Neurospora crassa OR74A: one gene and its partner. The main gene of each other region encodes a partner of the protein of the gene in region 2 in a complex. Links are inferred from orthologs where the notes say so. Each region holds a gene or a part of one and is shown on either strand. Other genes may lie near its edges.

What was found.
Region 1: the proteins of cac-2 (region 2) and asf-1 are in contact, whole or in part, in a crystal structure (PDB 2Z3F), measured with the Schizosaccharomyces pombe proteins. The link is inferred for Neurospora crassa OR74A from reciprocal best matches to the Schizosaccharomyces pombe genes pcf2 and asf1. Residues at the interface, in NP_594450.1 of Schizosaccharomyces pombe: Lys503, Arg504, Ile505, Ala506, Pro507, Thr508, Pro509, Val510, Tyr511; in NP_588267.1 of Schizosaccharomyces pombe: Phe28, Asp37, Leu60, Leu61, Val62, Gly63, Pro64, Ile65, Pro66, Gly68, Ile69, Asn70, Lys71, Phe72, Val73.

Annotation. Positions count from the first base shown.
Region 1 is NC_026507.1:177,599-181,198, reverse strand, and holds asf-1 (histone chaperone asf-1), read right to left. Parts: upstream 2,298-3,600; 5' UTR 1,821-2,297; coding exon 1,712-1,820; intron 1,621-1,711; coding exon 1,272-1,620; intron 1,077-1,271; coding exon 719-1,076; 3' UTR 25-718; downstream 1-24. Other genes in the region: NCU09435 (mRNA 3'-end-processing protein RNA-14), read left to right, coding at 3,497-3,600. UniProt on the Schizosaccharomyces pombe protein: Histone chaperone that facilitates histone deposition and histone exchange and removal during nucleosome assembly and disassembly.
Region 2 is NC_026501.1:5,640,792-5,649,697, reverse strand, and holds cac-2 (chromatin assembly factor 1 protein), read right to left. Parts: upstream 5,478-8,906; 5' UTR 4,932-5,477; coding exon 4,806-4,931; intron 4,733-4,805; coding exon 4,630-4,732; intron 4,544-4,629; coding exon 3,220-4,543; intron 3,167-3,219; coding exon 2,521-3,166; 3' UTR 1,851-2,520; downstream 1-1,850. Other genes in the region: NCU08356 (acetamidase), read right to left, coding at 1-869, 983-1,023; NCU16404 (hypothetical protein), read right to left, coding at 6,868-6,876, 7,200-7,226, 7,364-7,669. UniProt on the Schizosaccharomyces pombe protein: Acts as a component of the histone chaperone complex chromatin assembly factor 1 (CAF-1), which assembles histone octamers onto DNA during replication and repair.

The DNA of each region.
Region 1 (3,600 bases), on a different chromosome or scaffold from region 2:
TTATTTTTGTAATAATTTTTTCCTGGAAGAACTTATGCTAGCGACACCATGGAGGAGGCACCGGAGCCTGAAAGGGGCGAACCTGAAGACATTGGAACATTGAGAAATCAAGACATGAGTTTTACAGCGAGAACAGCAATATAGGGTACGGACTGATCCCAATCAATTCTCTCTTTCTTCCATGTTCTTTGCTTTCTAAAAGTAGGGTATGATAACACGCCACCAGCACCATGCAGCCAGCAACGATGTATGTTTCGCAAAAGCAACAGATAACACGGATCGACACGGCAACACACAGAAAGCAATCAAAGAGACATAACTCGTCAGCCTCCACCCACTCACTGCCCGCATCCAAACGAGGGAAGCTGAGCGGTAAGCACAAGACAACAATCGCCGGGACTCCATCTCATCCGGCTGATGACCCTCTCAATCACACCGCCCCCTTGGTTGGAATGTAGACAAACAGTATCCAGTGAGAGTGGGAGAACCCAGCCGTTTCCCATCCGCTTGCTTGTATCAGCTGCACAGCTTGGCCTCGACCGCAGGATATTGAAGCTCTTGGTATCCCATCCATCGCTCTTCACGGCCCCATGATCACAGACCAATGATCCTTTCTCGAAGAACCTCGCCTTTTGTGGTAATTTCCTGCAGTCCCCATTTCCGAATCCCACAGAGGGCTAACATTCAACGTCTCCTCGTCCTCTTCCATGGTCTCACTCTATTGAGCCATGGCCATGCCCTGCTGCTTTGGGTGGTCATCGATCTCCATCTCATCGCCCATCTCGATGTCCTCATCCTGTCCTTGCTCGAGCTCGCCCTCGGCGTCGCCTTCACCGTCCAGCTCGTCCTCGGATTCGTTCTCAAGATCGACGCTGCCGTCTTCGGACATCTCGTCTTCCTCAATCACGATGGCGCCATTTGGCTGGCCCTCAACTTCCATGCCACCGTTGACGGCGGGGTCGGCGATGCTCGATTGTTCGGCGAGTTCATCGGCACCATACTCTTCTTCGTCGGCGACCTCGTCGGCTTCAGGCTGTTCGGGAGGGAATTCAGGAGGAGCGGAGGCTTCAGAGTCCCTGTGGTTGATGGTGTTAGCATGAATATGGGGTAAAGGGAGAGAGACAGTTGTAAGTAGGGAGAGTGTGTTGCTGGGCAACTAAGACAGAAGGGAGGGCCAGTGGGGCTTGCCGCGTCCTTCCGCGCCGTCGGGTCGCGCCATCGCAGGCAGAGGCAATGCAAAAACTTTAACATCGTATCAGGGTGACACATACCACTTGATGGCAAATCGCGTGACTCTTGGCTTCTCGGCCAGGACGTTGCGGCGAATCTTCTCAATGACGGGCTTTGGGGGCGGATCATTAATGAGCTCCTCGCTCTCGTACTCGTTGTTAACATAGTACCCAACGCGCACAAACTCGCGACCGTCGTAGGCGCACGTCAACAGTATCACCGTGACGCCCAGAAGCTCGTCGATAGGGATGCGCTTTGTGTCAGGAGGCTCGGCCTCGAAAATAAACTTGTTGACGCCAACGGGAATGGGGCCGACGAGGAGGGAGTCGAGTTCCTGGTCGTAGTTATCCGAGGTGGCCGAGCCGACATAGGTGAGCTTCCATTCGAGGTCTGATACGCATACGCGACGGTTAGCGCCAAGATCACGACGCGAAGAAATGCGAATGAGGGGCGAGAAGAGGGAGGAGGAGGAGAAGCATACCCTTCTCGAGATGCTCAAGGCATTCAAAGGTGATTTCGAAGAGATACTTGTCGGTGAACTTGGCGGGGTTGTTCATGACATTGACCCCGAGAAGCGAGACGACAGACATCTTGGCGGTGGTGATGTTGCCGCGTGGGCAAACTGACAAAGATGTGAAGATGTCGCACTCAAGGAGTGGTGATGGTGATGGTGATGGTGGTGGTATCTAGTCGCGCAAGTATTTATAGTTGGTAGAAGGAATGTACCAAGTGATGATACAGCAGTACGAATAGACAACTCCCTGGACAAGGGAGAGAAGAAGAAGGAGGGAAGAAGATGCTTTGGGCCAAGACTTGCTGGTTGCTGGCTTGTCTTGCGTGGATGTGGTGTTTGTTTTGGTGGAGGAGGAGATTGGAGAAGAAAGTGGAGCGTGGTCTGTCAAAGTCAAGTCCAGCCAGCTTAATTATGCAAGGAGGGGGACAAGACAAGACCTACGGGACAGGACTGTGCATTGCGGACTGCGAGGGGAAATGGCCAGTTGGAGTGGGACAAGAACTGGACTGCAACGAAACTGAATGGAAGAGGGACAGGACGGCGCCTATCATGGACATTACATTGCACACGCGGGCAGAGCTGTTCCTATTTCATTACACTTGAGACGTATTGATACATTTGGTATATTTACCAACCGAAACTATAACACAGAAGCGGTTCCGATGGCTTTGAAATTCGTTTCACGGTGTATCTTTCCGTCTTCAGTTCTGCTCCTTCTGTGTCCATTGTGCTGGTGCCTGATAAGTACCTCTACAGGCGGGACATGTGCAGTGGTGTGAGTCGCGTAAATTGAAAGAAGTGGACGAACAGGAACGCGTTTCCCGCTTGTAGGGCGTAGTAGTACAGTAGTCTTGCCGCCGGCAATCCAACGTCTTGGTGTGGCAGGCATCGGGCCAGAACCCGACGGAGCGAAGAAGCCACATGATTCCAAGCTGCCAGCCACTTTCAGCCTCATGTGGATGGTTTGCTGTTGGACGGCCCGGGAGTGGATCCTCTGAAGCTTTGAAAAAAGAGGCAGCAGAAGAACCCATAATTTGAAAGAATCCGACCACTCAGCGTCGTCCATTGAACTTCCATGGACTCCATGGAGTGCGCTCTAGCGTCGCGACGGACTTTTGCTTTCAGTGAGTGACTGCAGCAGTGAGTGCAGCAGAACTGTCAAAGCTCGGGCAATGTGAGTTCTGTCGTTGGATGTCCGCTTTCCAACTTTGGCCTTTCTTTTGCATCCAATCTTCCATTCGACGACAAGGAAACGAACAACAACACACACAACAAAATACAAATCCACACCGACTCCAACTGGACCTTGCGATATTCGCCCATCCTCTCCGACGGATTCTGGAATACGATAGTATTTGCGCAATATCAACAAGTCTTTTTTTCTTCTTTTTCTTTTTCCACACCCTCTGGGTGGATTCTTTGTTGGTGTCCAGTCAACTGGTTATCACCTAGCTCTTTTTGACTTTGACCTCTCCTCCCCCCATCGACCCTCAAACTGCGCGACCGCGACTGTGACGGACCCCGACAGCTATAGCTACATATACAGCTAGCTACAGCCGCAGCACCTACCGTAGCAGCAATATGCAAGCATAGGTCACCCGTCTCCACGGCCCTGATTCCGACTGTTCTCTTTGCCGCCCTGCGATATCGACGCGCCTCGACCACACCCCGTTCACTTCCACGAGAAATACCGTTCTTCCAAAGCTAGGATAAACCGCTTCCATCTTCGATTCCAACTTGAACTCACAAAACATGTCCGACGACTACGACCCCACAAACATTAACGCTGCCTCGTGGGAGGAGCAAGAGGACTATGGCGAGGCTGATGGCAGCGAACAATACGGGGAGGCTGAGGG
Region 2 (8,906 bases):
TCAACCTCCTCTCCTGATCCGTAAACTCCTCCACCACTTCGTCCCTCCACGCAAGCGGGTGAACAGAGTGATCATACTTCCACGGCTTCATCCCAATCACCGCCTTGGTAAAATAGCTCAAATCATCCAGCGTCCTCGCCATCGGTGAGTAAACACTAGGCACGCCTTCCTGGCCGGGCATGCTGGTCAGGATGCCCGCCTTGGGCCAGCGCCCCGTCGCACACCTCAGGGAATAACACCCGCTGAAATGGGCCGGCACCCTGACGCTGCCCGCCACATCACTACCGATGCCGATGCGTCCGCCACAAGCCAGGAGCGCCGACTCGCCGCCCGTCGAGCCGCCGGGCGAGTATGCCTTGTTGTGAGGGTTCGTGCAGCGGCCCCACACGTCGTTGGTGCTCTCGTAACTCAGCAGGGAGATGGGCAGGTTGGTCTTGACATAAGGGACGGCGCCGGCGTCTTTGAGAAGGCGCACCATCGGCCCGTCCTGCGGGTTGTCGGCCTTGTTCCCGACGAAGGAGGAGTACCCGACTGTCGTGTCGAAGCCGCCTACGATGATGGTGTCCTTCAGGCTGACGGGGATTCCGGCCAGAGGACCCTGGAGGTTGACTCTCTTGGAGTTTTTGAGGGAGTCCTCGGCGGCGGAGATGAGGACCTCGGTCAGGCAGTTGGTCTTGAGGTGGGCTCTGATGGCAACCTTGCCGTAGGTTTGGAGCACGGAGAGTGGCGATATGGCATTGGACTGGACCCCGGACACGAGTTCGGCGATGGGCTTGTTGATGGTGTCGAGGTCTTTGCCAGACAAGGCGGCATGGTATTCCGGACCGAGCGAGGAGATGCGTTCTTTACGCTCGGCTCGTTTAAGATTACTGTTTGAAGTAGTCTGAGGTTAGCAAAAGGACTACACATTTTTATTCCGGTAATCTAAAGAGCCCTAAGAGCCAGACTTTCTATAAATATGATTATGATGGATACTACTGACCAGTCCCGCTTGTGGCGGAGGTAATCCGAAAGGAAACTCATCGTGTCAGTGTGCTTGCTCACTGCTCACTGAGCTTTTCCCAATATCGAAAGGATGCTCGCTGAAACATCCAAAAACAAGGGATTGTGGTCTGTATGTATCGGTGCTGTCGGCGTTGCCGCGGTTGATAGCTCCTAGGGGCGATGTTGAGTTGAAGACGCGCCGGTTAATTTGTGGGAGGTGGAGATTGGATGAAGGTACTCAGACTGGAAGGGTATTACGCCGTCTAAAACGAATAGGCAAGACGATGTGAGGCCGGTGTAGATAGTTCGGGTTACATGTAACAGAAGTGAAGGGTAAGTTGACAAAAGTAAGCCCCAACACCAACCCCCCTCACGCGGGGGTGACTGCTCTTGTATAAGTGATAACGGCCAAGCCAATGGCGGGTATCTTGAAGCGGTTTGGTGAGAAATGGGAAGCTGCAAGGGGACCCGAGGTCCTACCCTACCTAGCTATCCGAGAACAGATAGCGTCCAGGATAAGCAGTTACACTTCTTCAATTGGACTAAGCTTTATCTCCCTATCGGCGTTTTTGGCTAAGCGTGGACAAAGAGTGCCCTTCGGACATTGTTCCTGTTAATCTTCCCCGCGTTTGAGGTCGCACGTGTGGTATGTTTGGTTACTGGTCACAGGTGCCTAGGTACCATCCAACTAAGTGTTTAAGCTGTCCCTCGTGGACCCGGCGTATCTTTTCCCTCCCAAATTCCTAGCTCCTGCCGAATTGTTGCACCACAGAAGTACTCACCGTAGGGAGAAATCAGACCGGTCAAGATTCCAGATACTTACCTTTAGATGATAAAGTAACATGAATGAATTCAGATAATCTTTTTACCTCGAAAAGTATTTTATTGTCGTCAATTATCATGCAATTGTTTTGTCTGCTCAAAAGCTGACGGTGGGTGAGTGCTTAAGCCGTCCTAAGCCGAGACCTCCGCGTTGGCGAGCCTGTACCTAAGCAGACCGATACCGGGCATAGTATCACTGCCGTAGCTCAGTCAACTAACTTCCGGGGTTTATTAGCATAACAAGAGTAAGAAGACTCCATACCGCTCATCTGTGCATGGCCGAATCTTCAGATATCATAAAGTAGCTGACATCTCAGTCTGCCCAGAATAGCACCCACCACCAAGCGCATCCAAACCACCAATTAAACTGTAGCTTCCGTACTTAAACGTTCTGTATTCTTCAGCCAGCATGATGCCTGCCAACACCACTGTAGATGCAATAACAAATTGACCTGGCCGCTCTTACCTTCACGATATAGAAGATTGTGCAGAGAACCAAGAGCCCAAGGGGCAAGTTCTCCCACACTGGGCAGCGAAACATCAAAGATATAGGACCAAAACCTCAAACCCTCAAGACATCACCCTTTTCCGTTCTCCTCCTCTTGCATGCTTTCCTATCTTCCATTCGACCTGTCTTAGCACATGTCAAAGACATCTATTTGTGAAGTATCCGCGGGTTGTGCTAGATCCTTGCGACAACAACCGCCTAGCGACCTACGCTTTAGCCACGTCGCTGTTACTGGACCCGTCAGTCGTAGACGATGCCCCTCCGCTGACCAAGGTAGGCGCGATGCGTCTCCGTTTGGGTTGCTGGCTATTCTCCGCGTTATTTGCCTCGCGAGAATCGCTTGACTCCCTCTTCAAGTTAGTGGAGCCAGCACCACCGCTCGAACTCTGCGGCGTCTCAGGAGGGGTCACAACGGGCAAGCCCGTAACCTTGCCCGAATTGGTGGCAGCGATGCTTGGCACTTGGCCAGAAATAAGCGGTGGGTTGCTCATAACCCCGCCCTGTGATGTAGAAGCTTGAGTAATGGCAGAACTAGTCGAGTTGGATCGTGCCGGTGAAGGGGGCGGCGGGTTCACGAAGGAAGCAGCTGTAGGTGGCGAAGGCGCCGTAAAAGAGCTCGCAGAGTCCCTATGGCGATGGTTGGTACCGTTGTGAAACGGGGATGGGGGGGCAAACACCCCCGAGGGATTGGGAAGAGACGTGTTCTGGTTCGACGTGGCTCCTCCAGAGGACAGTGAATGTCGTGGACCAATTTCTCCAGTATACGGTATACCCAACTCTCCAGGCAAAAAGGACAGGGTGGAACAGAACCCATCCGACGAGGATATCAACAGCGTCAAACCATCAGTCGACCTGCAACTTATATTAGTTTGCGAAGGCTCAAGGAAGCAAAGGGAATAACTTACCAGGTAAGGTCCGTAAAAGTGGCGCAGTGCAAGTTGCTCACAACGCAGATAGGTGTGTGTTGCTGGGTATCGTACAGAAGCACTGAGTCTTGGGTGGCTACAGCGTAGACCATCCGATACGGGAGCGCGAACGCCGACTTCGGTCCAGGGCTCTGCACTGGAGCCTCCGTCGATCCTGAAACCGAACTTTCGGTGGGCAATGGAGGAGGTGGTGGCTCCATCACGGACGGAGCTGTTGAGGGCTTTGCTAATGGTTCAGGCAGTGAAGGTATCGGCTCCTCGGCTGATGAAGTATCAATGGTGATGTGTTTGGTGACGGGCGGTGATTGTCTCAAGGTGTAGATGATTGGGGAACATCTGACGGCGACAGACGGCTTCTTGTGTCCGGGTAAATGGGCAATGGGTGGTTTGTTGATGCCACCTCGCGTGTATATGTATACCGTATTAATGACCTCGTACAAAGGTTTCCCGCCATCCACCTGATGCTGAGTCTGATATTGACCAGCAGGTGTCAGGAGCAGACTTCCGTCAGGTGTGAAGGTCAGTCTCCGGAAAAATGAAGTTAGAGTCTCATTCGCATAAAGGCTCGCATTCTTCATGCCCAGGCCGTAGCTTGAAGAGTGCGGTTTGGGAGAAGCCTCGATAGGCATAACAGCAGGCAAAGGCATGGACGGTGCGGGCGACACTGATCGCCTGGACGAGAACGACGATCTCCGGCTATGGCTGATGACACTGGGAGGGTTCATAGGCAGGGCCATCGAAGTGGGAGTACCCGGGATGGAAGGGTTTGGGGATCCAGCAACAGCACTGGGATCCAGGGATGTAAAAGCGGGCCGGTTACCGAACTCGGGCGGAGCTGGGCTATGAGAGGATATCCTGCGAGGAGGAAGATCTGTTTTGGCGTGGCTGGCAATCTTTGGTGGCTTGTCGTCGTGGTTGTTGGCGAGGGTATACTGGCCATCCTTGGTCCTCAGCGAGTAGATATGTACCGATCGATCGGAAGATTGTGTCGCGATGTACTCGTTCAGAGGATCCCATGTAACGCCCTGGACGTAGTGGCTATGTTCGGCAATCTGGCGCACGAGTGTGCCCGTCGAAGCGTTATAGATGCGCGCAACGTTGTCCATGCTGCCGATGATGAAAAAGGCAGCATCCGGGGACCAGGCAAGATCATATATCTCCGTGCCCAGGGACCGGCACATGTGCTTTGTCCTCCATGTTTCCTTGTCTTCGAGGCCTTCGTTTCCGAACGTCGCGTGGTGAGTGTCTGATGGAACCCACAAGATGACATTGCCGTCATCTCCAGCAGAGGCAAGGAGTTCACCTGAAAGGGGCCTTGTTAGTACGCGAAAAAGCGAGCCAAGGGATCCGGAGAGCTGGTGGCATGCCACGAGGGCAAGGACAACGTACCTTTGGGAGCCCAGCGAACGACGTTGACTGCTTGTGTATGTTTGGACAGGGTTGCCAAGTACTCGACCCTACGATTCTCGCCATCCTCCTCTATTCTCCATAGCTGTCGCAATCATAACAATCAGTATGGGTCCAAAAACCTGAACGCAAGGGCGGGACAGGGTAGATTGCATTACTCGAACATTGTTGTCTCCGGCGGCGGTAGCTAAGCGGCCCTTGCCTCCGGGTTCGAAATGGGCAGAGTAGATGGGGTACGGATTGTTTTCGTGGTGCCAGTTGATGATTAACGGAGTGGCTTTCATTGTGGCATATAGTCGGTTGGAGCACGAGACGGGTGGGTTGACGAGAGGTGAAGGACGGAAAAGTGGTGGTGAGAAAGGCGCAAGTGTTGCCGGGTCAAGTGGAATTATTTCAATCGGCAACGGCACCACTTTCTGGGGAAGGTCTGGGGTTTCTGATCGGTCTGGGGTTCCGTCCCGCCGTTGGCTCGGCGATGAACTGCCTGTCGTGAGAAGTGCGGCAGCCGTGCAAGTGCCCTGCGCTGTGCTATGGGCTCGAGGATAGCAGATCCAGCACAGGTCTAGCAGCTGCAGATGAGGCGGCTGGCTGGGAACAACAATGAGAAGGCTTCGATTTTCCGATGGTGAGGAGCCTGGGAGCACAGTCGATTGGGCTTTGGTCAATTGAAGTGGCCGGAGAAATCAATTGTCGTAATCTTGATGGAGGGAATCGCAAGAGGACATGGGGATGCGGGCGGGATATGTGAAGCAAGTTCTTTAATACCATCAAGAAAGAATTCGAGGTTTGGGTGGGTGGAATAGCTCCCGTTGAGGTCGGCTTGTTCCACGAGGCCTGTGCGGAGCTAGGTACCTAGCTCAGGGCGTTGATATTGGTTGGATTGGATGTCCGCGCAGTTGACCGGAACCTTGAAGGGCGGCGCCGCTCAGTTGCAAGAAATGATAGGTACGCCCTGGCGGGACGGGACTGGGCAAGGAGGAAGCTAGGTAAATTGCTACCTAGCATGGACATACCACTCAGGTGTCGGGCGAGTCGAGGTAGTCGATCTTGGCACTCAGGTACTTCTCCTGTTGACAGGCAGTAACTGAGTTGTCCGAAGTTGATGCCATTCACGATACATGTGACGACGGATGAAGCAACAATACCTAGCAGCAAAGAACTTGCTTGTTCGCATCCCAGGCAGACCTGGTTGAACTTGTTGAGGAGTGCTTTAATTGAATAACGTGAGACCTGCCACCTCCTACCACTGCACCTACTTACCTCCAAACCCAAGAGAAGAGGTGAAGAAGGACGGGAACCTTCCCTCCATGTGATCTGAGTGCAGCAGCTGCATTGCACTTGCCCGACAGTTGGCGCTGGCAACCCGCCTTGATGTTCAAGGCCCACCTTGCACGATCCCTTTCACTTTGCGGGACGGAACTGAAAGAGCCCAGGTGCACTGGCGGTCATCGAACAAATGACCAACTCCCAACCACAAAAACCTGGAACCGTGTTCTGCCCGCTCCTCCACCTACCTCGCTCCTGCATGCCTCAACTAGTACCAAGTCTCGGCAGCCACTCTACCTAGAGGTATACACAAGACTTCTGTCGACAGCCACCCTTCACACCCAGCCAATCAAATGGAGATTGCCTCTTCCCGGCGCCGGGACATTGATCCCGAACCGTGACACTGCCATGAAGGCGAGGCAAGACCTGAGCGGATGATACACCGACCAAATTTCCAGAATAAACACACCAAGGATTGAGACCAGAGTGCTGGGTGTTCAGTCGATCTTGTCTCCCAAAGTGACACCATATCTCGACCTCCCAAAGTCCAACCAACCAAGTGAAGATAACCATGAGCTGAACGACCCAAATCTGGAAAGAACAAGAGATCCGCTTACAGGTTCCAGTTGATTCTTCAACTGGTGGAACTGGGCTTATCGCGTCTGCACCCCCCCCTCTTTCTTCTCTCTAAACTGGATATGTATTGGAATCGAGCTTCATTTGACGGCAGACGGCAGACAATGGACAGCAGCGCTTCTCGGAGGCTTGCCCTGAGATCGACAAAGGCAGCGCGACAACCGACTTGCGACACCGGTACAATCGCATCTGTTCCCCATTCTCCTGGTTGTGGAGAGTTCAAATATGAGCACCCCGATGGACTACACTTGTACTCTCGGGTTGAGGACGACAGTGGTTTCGAGTTCGAAAGTTGGGCCAGATTTGCACCCGAATCTTTTAGTGACTCTGCGTTTCCATCAGTCAGCACCGCCCGTTCTCTCCTCGACATCCCAACAACTTTTTCCTAACACTCTTAGGTAATCCACCAAAGGATTACTAAATGAAACAACTTGGAAAAGACCGTGCAACCATAACGACCCAAGCTAGTGCTTTACAGAAAGCCACAAAGCCCCCACCAGCAACGACAATGGACAAGACGGTGACGATGGTGAGGGGAAGACTTTGGAAGAGTTACCGGCAAAGCGAAGAGGTCAAGTCATCGACCTACCACTTTACCGCCTTTACGCTATGGAGGATGCTCGGTTGTCCAGTTACGGCCCCTTACACACACCTCCTCTGACGTAGCGTTGTGGTGCCTTTATGCTTTCACAGCTCGAGTCAGTATGTTTGAGCTGGTGTACAAGCACATCCCCAACTTTCCGAGTCTCATTGACTTGGCCTTGACATTCATATGTTTGGTTGAAGAGGCTATCTTCCAGGATGGTCGTCTTACTTCGAAACCAGTCTTGCATGCTGTCTTACTTGGTGGCTTCCCCAAGGTGCTGCGGTATTCAAATTTCCCGGCTTGTTGAGGCTCACCACTGCGAATAGATTTCTCCAAGATCATGCTCCTAGCAGCTTGGCCCAGCTCAAAGCTGGTGCCGAAATTCGTCCAGCTGAGAGCCAATGCGTGGGAATTCACAAGGGCCGTCGGGATTGGTTTTGTACTTCTCCCTGAGCCGTGCATTATTTGATTGGTTTTCGTGTGGACGCCACGACCGATGCCGAACGGGTCTGTTGAGTTCAGGTTGTTGGTCATGGAGACTTTTGGCGCATTGAATGTCTTTCGCGCCTATTCGAGAGATTGGCGATAGTTGCGGCAGTTGTCGTGTGCGAACACCCAGAAGTCCGAAGCTCAGGCAAATGTGAAATTTGGGTGAAAGAAGACCAAAAAAAAGAAGAAGAAAAGGAAACTTTACACACGAATATCACAACAGTCTTTGATCACGAGAACGTCTCAGGCGCTGTCGCACAGCTCTTTTAGTCAATAACTCGGTCATTACGTGTTGACGAAGGTTCAGCAATGACAACTTCGTATCTTCACGGTTTCAAAGAGTCTTGCACATAGAAGCCGATTACGCCGACTTTATGGACAACCTGGTCAATAAAGAGGCGAGTTGCCGGATATCCGCCAAGCCAAAATTCAGGATGACGATGTCAGGTTCGCATCGTTGCAGAATGGCGTATCGCAGCGGTACGTACATAGCCGATCGGGCTATCCAAGATCAAGCGTCGTAGCATTTTCCGGTGTTTGAGGCTTACCAGTGGAGGTGTCTTTTGTCCCGACAGCAACAATTATACATGTACCTAGTGCACATAGTACGGCTGCATATCACGTCCAGTTTGCCCCTGGGCCCTTTCCATATCTCGGACAGTACACTAAATCCAAGCTAAAATCCGGGGCGGCTTGCACCCCGAGTGAGTCACGTAGTGTACAGATATTTCTCCTGCCTTTCTAGGTAGAGGCAGGTTCGAGTCGATACCAAGCTTGGCAATCCGTCCTCCTATCAACGTTGCGTTGAAGGCATGACGGGACGTACGGCGTAGCAGCATCTACTACCTATGCAGTATATGCATGCAGTATGGAGCATGCGGTGTATGTACCTACCTACTGCGTACAACCACTACATGGATTCCCAGCGTGGGAGTAAAGGTGATTTGAATCGATGGGGTATAGTGCCGGCTGTCAGCCTGTATGCAAGTGCATGAGAATGTGAGCAGTCTGTCCGTTATCTCACACCCCCCCTTCAGCCCAGGCGCTCGACAAGTTCGCCATGTGAGTCAAGACAACAATCTCTTTTCCATCTCCCACCCGAACGGCGACGGATGAACCCAATGCTGCTGGCTACCGTTGCACGATCATCTTACATCCAGCACACTGCGGGGTTCGTTGCATTCAGAACGGAAGGGTGTGTCTTGACATGTTCAAAAGACCCTTCTGCTGACAGGACGCCAGCCCGCTCCTGTCTGATGAACGTGTAAAAAGTCGGGGTTTT